2 linked regions of the Xenopus tropicalis genome follow. The protein of the gene in region 2 interacts with the protein of the main gene of each other region in a biochemical or structural test. Links are inferred from orthologs where the notes say so. Each region holds a gene or a part of one and is shown on either strand. Other genes may lie near its edges.

Evidence for each region.
Region 1: the proteins of tcerg1 (region 2) and u2af2 form a complex in vitro, tested with the Homo sapiens proteins (2 studies listed by BioGRID). The link is inferred for Xenopus tropicalis from reciprocal best matches to the Homo sapiens genes TCERG1 and U2AF2.

Annotation. Positions count from the first base shown.
Region 1 is NC_030683.2:104,046,071-104,049,900, reverse strand, and holds part of u2af2 (splicing factor U2AF 65 kDa subunit), read right to left. Parts: intron 3,767-3,830; coding exon 3,631-3,766; intron 3,539-3,630; coding exon 3,435-3,538; intron 2,459-3,434; coding exon 2,307-2,458; intron 274-2,306; coding exon 157-273; intron 1-156. UniProt on the Homo sapiens protein: Plays a role in pre-mRNA splicing and 3'-end processing. By recruiting PRPF19 and the PRP19C/Prp19 complex/NTC/Nineteen complex to the RNA polymerase II C-terminal domain (CTD), and thereby pre-mRNA, may couple transcription to splicing.
Region 2 is NC_030679.2:39,889,532-39,892,680, reverse strand, and holds part of tcerg1 (transcription elongation regulator 1), read right to left. Parts: intron 2,485-3,149; coding exon 2,320-2,484; intron 2,020-2,319; coding exon 1,837-2,019; intron 1,748-1,836; coding exon 1,568-1,747; intron 1,116-1,567; coding exon 1,032-1,115; intron 1-1,031. UniProt on the Homo sapiens protein: Transcription factor that binds RNA polymerase II and inhibits the elongation of transcripts from target promoters. Regulates transcription elongation in a TATA box-dependent manner.

The sequences.
Region 1 (3,830 bases), on a different chromosome or scaffold from region 2:
TTCAATGCAGGATTCTGATGGGAAAAACTGTATTAACTGATGCATTTTGAAAAAAAAAAAAAAAAAAAATTTGTTTTCCCATGAAAGTATTGCTTTAAGTGTTTTATACATACATTCCTATTCGGCACAATGCCACTTTCCACAAGCTTTACTTACCTCCAAGAAGGCAAAGTTTTTGTCTTGATTGATCTGAACAGCCAGTACAGGATTTCCAGGCGCTTGAGTCAATCCACCAAGGCGCATCTGGGCATTAAAGAAATCCATCATTGCTTCCTGCAAGGTAAAAAGAGGAGAGAAATATAAGTGGTCTGATATCCCTGTTAATAGCAACAAAGAGCATGTTTAAGATCTAGAATGTCCTACTTGCCTTGCACGATGGTAGCAAACTTATTTTGCTACGAAGGGATTTCAGCCCCACAATTTTCACTTTAAAAAGAAATGGAAACAACTCTTTGATCTTGTTTTTCAAATAGAAAAGGTTTCTTTTAAATCAAAGTTGTTTATTGTTGTAATTCAACAAAAGCAGCCATTTCTGCAAAAACCATGCTAACTGCTGGAAAATTTGGAAAAAAGTTTGAGACAAACTCCATTAGAGTGCAGGGCCATAGTACCAGTTCCGAATAAAAAAAAAAAAAAAAAGCAAAAATGCGATACCCATTTTATAGATTAGAAATGTAGGGTTTAGCAATGTGTCACATGATCAAATGTGAAACAAATCATTTAAACACCATGGAGAAGGGACACCAAGTTTTGAAAAAACCCACCTGTAAGTTTTTCTCCATAACACCGAAAGACCAGTTATAAAGCCATTATAGCGTGCTTAAAGCAGCTGCCAAATACCTTACCTGTGTCAACTAGATTAAGAATACTATTTAACAGAACTCAATGTAACTGCTTTGTAACGGTCCATTTTTATTTAAAATGTATTAATGTTACAATTGCCTCAGACACTGGGTCTCAAACATGTTTCTCAGTAAGTCCCCAACTGCTAAGGACAAATATTGTATTACTGCCTGAGAAGAGATAAATAAGGTTTGCCCACTGACTAAGCAAATGATACACAAGGATATGCATTTAACTGGCCACATCATTTACACACTTTACACCAAATAATGCTTATTTGTATGTGGGCTTTCTGGCAAACAATTGAAATACATTAAGCAATAAGGACTTCATTCAGGATTTTGCAGGATTAGGGATGTGGTGGCTGGAGGATTTTTACCATTGATATCCCTTAAAGATCAGAAACCAAAAGACCAAATGTAGGAAGGGTTTTAAACGGTTTACAGTAAAAATTAAACTGGGGAAATAGATAGGCTGTGCAAAATAAAACTTTTCAATATAGTCAAAAATAAAGTCTACATAATTGCCAGAACACTAACTTCCTCCTTTGCAGTTCTCTTATCTGTTACAAGTTTGTAATCAGTAACTTGGGGGAATATGGGATATAACTGTTCCTTTAGATTGCTAAGGATCAAAAGCAAAGTAACTGAACAGTTGTCTTATGTGCCCCTCCAAGTCACTAAGAGGTTAGAGAGCTGCCAAGGAGGAAGTAGTTTTCGGATATGTTCAACATCCTCCCAACTCCAGCCTTTATTGATTACATTTTTGGCTATCAGAAACATTTTTTATTTTGCACTACCTATCTATACCTAGTACTCCAATGACATAACGCCTGTTTAACAATGGCCCTAAATAAAGAGTGACTTAACCAAACTCATACAGCTTAAATGAAAATAAGGGTGGTAGTATAAAGAGAAAGCAATGGATTGCTTATGTAATAATTCAAAGGTAGCTATCAATGCTGGTACCAGGATGGACAAAAAAAAAAAAAAAAAAAAAAGGGTATCTGAGATGGCACAGTTCTCTTGCAGAAACAACCTACGGCAATGTATATTTACCCATGATAGGGCACTGAGTAAAAGCCCAACTACAACTATTCAGAACAACGAATATTCAAACAAATCATATTTAAAAAATTTACAGACTGTATATTTGAAATCCTCGCCTGTCAGGGACTTACTGAGCACTTGTCTGAGAGCCCAAAATTCAGGTCCCTGCTTAAGAGCTGTATGCAGGAAAATTGTTAGTGCCACCAATACGGATAGCTTGAGACCAATAACAAAAGAAACTGAGATAAGAGAATGTTTCAAGCTATGAAATACTTATTAACCTAAGGGGCAAAGAATACCTTCATTAAGTGGTAAATAAAATGTTGAAGAAATGCTGAAAAATGTTTTGGTGCTGCCATTTCTCAACCTCAATACTTTACTATAGCTAGGAAATAGAATGGCTATAGCAAATACCTCAGTGATTCCAAATGGAATATTTCCAACATAGAGTCGACGGGCCTGTCTTGTCATCTGACTACCCACAACAGGCACAGGAGTAGGAGTAACTGCCAAGCCATCTGGTGTCATTGTTGGAAGGAGAGCAGTAGCTGGAATCTGACCCGCAGCTGAGGAAAAGATAAAAAAGTTACGCGAAATATAAATGGTCTGCAAGTGTACAAATTAATAGTGACATGTGACAGTCAATTGTACAGTTAATTTAAAACCAGAAAAAATATATCTAAACAAGACAGACAATACCATACTCAAGCTTACAAATATGTGAAGGTTTAGTACTCACTGTAAATTCATATTTTCTGCTTTTGAACGTATAGGTAATGTGGTGTAAAACTTTTGGCTGGGAAACTCAAGTTAGAAAATTATAAAGGGGAAGCAAAACAGCTGATATTGTCCTCCTTTTACTCCCGTCGAATGATATGCTGTTTTACCCCACAAGGGAAGTCTATGTGAAGAACCCCTTGTGCAATAAAAATGAATCCAAGCTGGACAGCTTTTCTGTAAAGCAAAATATTGCACTTACCTTTTATATTCACCTCTTCTCTGTGCTCAGTGTAGTTTCACAATGTAACTTGTGAACCGGAGCCCAAAATTTCACTGCCTGTTTAAGAGTATGGCCTAATGCAAGGGGCGGACTTACAACTTTCTCCTTTGATGCTATTCCCTTTTTGTACTCTAGGGGTATCTCTTCATGGTCTAACATTCATTTTTCCAACACAATGGCACTTAGGCTACATCAATAATTGTGTAGAAGAAGCTGCCCCTGATAATCAGTTTCCTTTTAACTTCCAAACACAGACATAACACAAATGATAAAGCAGATACTGCGATAAGCACAAAAACTGTACATTCAATCAGAATTCACATTTCAAATATATTACATGCAAGATTATCCAGAAGGCTCCAAAATAAATGCACAGAATCCTTGTTAAGCAAAGAGCTTTTATTTTGCAGTAATAAAACATACCTTTCAAACAAAAAAATATTAGTTACTCATTTAAATAGCAACGCTGTATTATGACCCTTAAAGCTTTCAAAAGCTAAAGTAAAAAGATGAGTATTAACTAAATGTTAAAAACAAATTACCTTGCATGGCTTTATACTGCATAGGGGTGATATGCTCAAAACCAGGAGGTGGAACATCCCAGTATTTACGGATCTTCTTTTTCTTCTCATGTCTTGGTGAGCGACTGGACAAAAAAAAAAAAAAAAAGGGAAGATTTAAGTCATGCAAGGGTTAGCATATTTACACAATAGTTTAAGAGACATCTACAAGTTTTACCTGCGTCGCCTTCGATCCCTGGATCCACTTCGCTGCTCTCTACCTCGCCTGTCTCTGCTACGGCTGCGGCGCTTCCGGTCTCGGCTTCTAGAACGGCTGTGACTACGTTTTCGATGACGATTTTCCTTGTCCCTTTCTAAAGATACCAGAGGAATGTTGCAGAAAATTATTCCACAAATCACAAGCTTGACTGTGCAATA
Region 2 (3,149 bases):
TACATTCAAAGCCCTTCACTCCTCTGCTCCTCACTGAATTTCTTTACTGGTCTCCCTGTGCATTCCTGGTCATCTCCTGGTTGAGCCTGTTTTTTTTTTACCATCCACACCCACTGCTCTCTGGTCTCAAACCTTTCTAACTCACTGCCACTTACTTTTGGAACTCTATCCATGAATTCTTCCATAGGGAAAAACACAGATTTTAACTTATGGAGCACTAAAACATTTTGTCTAGTCCTGTGCTTAAGAGCAAATTCCCATAGCTTGTGCACTCTTGCCTTCCAATTGTGCCTGTATGTTACCCAATCACTTAGATTGTAAGCTCTACGGGGCAGGGACCTCCCTTCTACTGTGTCTCATACCACACCTATGGCATTTTATCGGAGTATTATTTATTATTATTTATTGTATTTATTATACTACTTGTCCTCCCTACGTGTAATCTTGCATATCCAGGATTCGGTTCAGTATTTGGCCAAATCCATGGTCCTGGCCGAAACAAATCCAAAAAAATCACATGACTTTTTGTCATGTTAACACGGAAGTGAAAGATGTTTTAACCCTTCCAAATCCTAATTAGCATATGCTAATTAGGATTAATTTCAGGATTCAGCCAAATCCCTTACGGTGGATTTGGGGGTAAACAGCCGGTAAGCAGCACAACATCAGCACAAGATAATACCTGGGTGCCAGTGCAGTACTGTAATAGACATTTTCACAGGTAGTGACAGCACTTGCAGGAATTTGTACACAAGATCAAGTGAAAATAAAAAAATGTTTACTCAGTCCAACGTTTGTTTCTAATTGGAATAATTGGAATAAGTAATACTTCTAGGTAGGTAAGCAAATAAACATATCCCTTACACTGTTTTGTAAAGGGGAATAACCAGATGAGGAATGTTAAGCACACTGAATAAAAGATAACCCTGCTATTGTTTATAATAAAAAAAAAACGAAATAAATGGAAGCCAAACAAACTGGGGAAAAACATAATGCAAGAAAGAAATGAAAGTTAGAGAGGGAACCCTTACCCGGTCACTTGAAGAAAATTTAATGCAGCGTGGATCATCCTTTATAATCTTCTTAACCTCTTTCCAAGTGGATGTTAAAGTAATCTAAAACACATCATTTTACACACAGTAAATAATCAGTTTAATAACACCCTCAGGTGTATTAGTTATATACTGCCGTATATTTATTTCACTTAGAAACCACAATAACATACTGTATAGTATTAAGAGATTTCTGCAGATGGGCATGTCGTAGAAACAGGGCACATGAAGTCTACACATAGTAAGGTATCACACTTTTTGGATGGGGGGAAGCAATACTCTGTCAACGGAAGGATCTGGAAAGGGATGACAGTGGCCCTTAAACTGCCATGCTAGGACTCGGGTAAACACAACAAATCAGTAAAACTACAGAAGAACTAAGACACACTGCAATTTTATGATCCTTAGCTTGCAGCAAGAAAAAAAAATCTAAGGATCTGCAACAGCCACAGTTCTGTGGGATCTGTTTCCCTGATACAGGAAAATAATGCACACATTTTATCAGTACGACTTACAGCACATGTTTCATCCAACAGCTGTCTAAACTGTTCTCGTTTCTTTTTAGTAAGCGCCTCAATGTGTTCACTAAAAAGTTTCTCCTTCTCTTCCCTTTCCAGCAAGGAACCAGATTCCCATCTGTGGTCTTTCCTCAATGTCCTTCTTGTATCAGACCATGAAACATCAGATGACCGCACCTAAAAAACAATCAAATGCCAAAAATGAATTCCCATGAAATGCACCCACCAATCAGTGCAGAGTGATCAAATAACTAACAAGCCATTACCATATCCGACAAAAGGGCTTTAAAATTCTGGATTGCTTCTTCTCGCTTGTGCTGTTCTCGTTCTCTGTCAATTTCCTTGGTTTGCTCTGAGCGAGCTTTCTGCACTTCCCGCTCTCTTTCACGTAAACTTGCCTCAATGCGAGCTTGTCTTTCCAGCTCTTTCTCCTTTTCTGTATCTAAATTCTGGTATTTAGAATAAAATGGAAGATACTTATTTTCATGAAAAAGTCCAAAAATCCAGACTGGTATTAAAGGATTAAATAAGACCATCAGGCACAACTTGTCAATTCTGTCAGGTACAACCTGACAAGGCTGAGTCTCAACAAACCTCAAAACCCAGGTGAATAAATATAAAACCATGCTGTTTTAATGTCCACATAAAATGGCATACATACTGGCTGTAATAAATAGGAAAAAACATTTATGAAGGATTATTTTGTTAAAAATGGGATGAACAGCTATTTACATGATAACCTAACATACCTTTACAATCTTTTCTATATACAGTTTAAAGAGCTCTTCTCTTGCCGCTGAACTTTCCACTGCTTTGTAACGGAGATCATTCTCTATCTTGTCCTTGATTTTGCTCCATCGAGACTGTCCGTCTAAATGAAGGCTGGATAACAAGTCAAAGAAGTCCGATCGGACCTATATTTGATAAAATGGTTAAATTATAAGCGTGCTGATACTTGTACTGCTGGGAGAGAAGTAGTGCTTTCCTAATAAAGCAAGAAAACTGCTTCCTGCAATATTCATGTTTTGCACCATTCATGGCTTACATACTGGAAACATTTCTAATTAGGCAAGGGCACTACTTCCCTACTACTGTTATATGTGCCTACAAAACAGTATGAGGTATTGTTAAATGTTTAAAAATAAGTTAGTAGGAACCAATACTGTACACAATGCTAACCAACCTGGCTTTTCATTCTAAATACAGCTATGGTTCTATTGTCTAGAAACCAGTAAGCCAGAAAGCTCTGAAAAACAGGACTGACATTTTCTATAGTTCCCAAACCACTCTCTATTTTGAATGTATAAGCTTTTTCTCTGTAATAAAACAACACTTTATACTTCATAACTAAATTAAATCCATAGTGATGGCAAATAAAAACTGTTCGTTCAGGCTGATGGCAGATGTGGCGTAGGGCGGATATTTTTGGCAATTTAAAAACTGTTGCCGAATAGGGATGCACAGAATCCTGGATTTGGTTCGGGATTTGGGCCGAATCCAGCTTTTGATGGATTCGGTTTCGGCTGAATCAATAGCCCCGGCCGAACCTGATGTTAATTAGCATAAATTAACATATGCT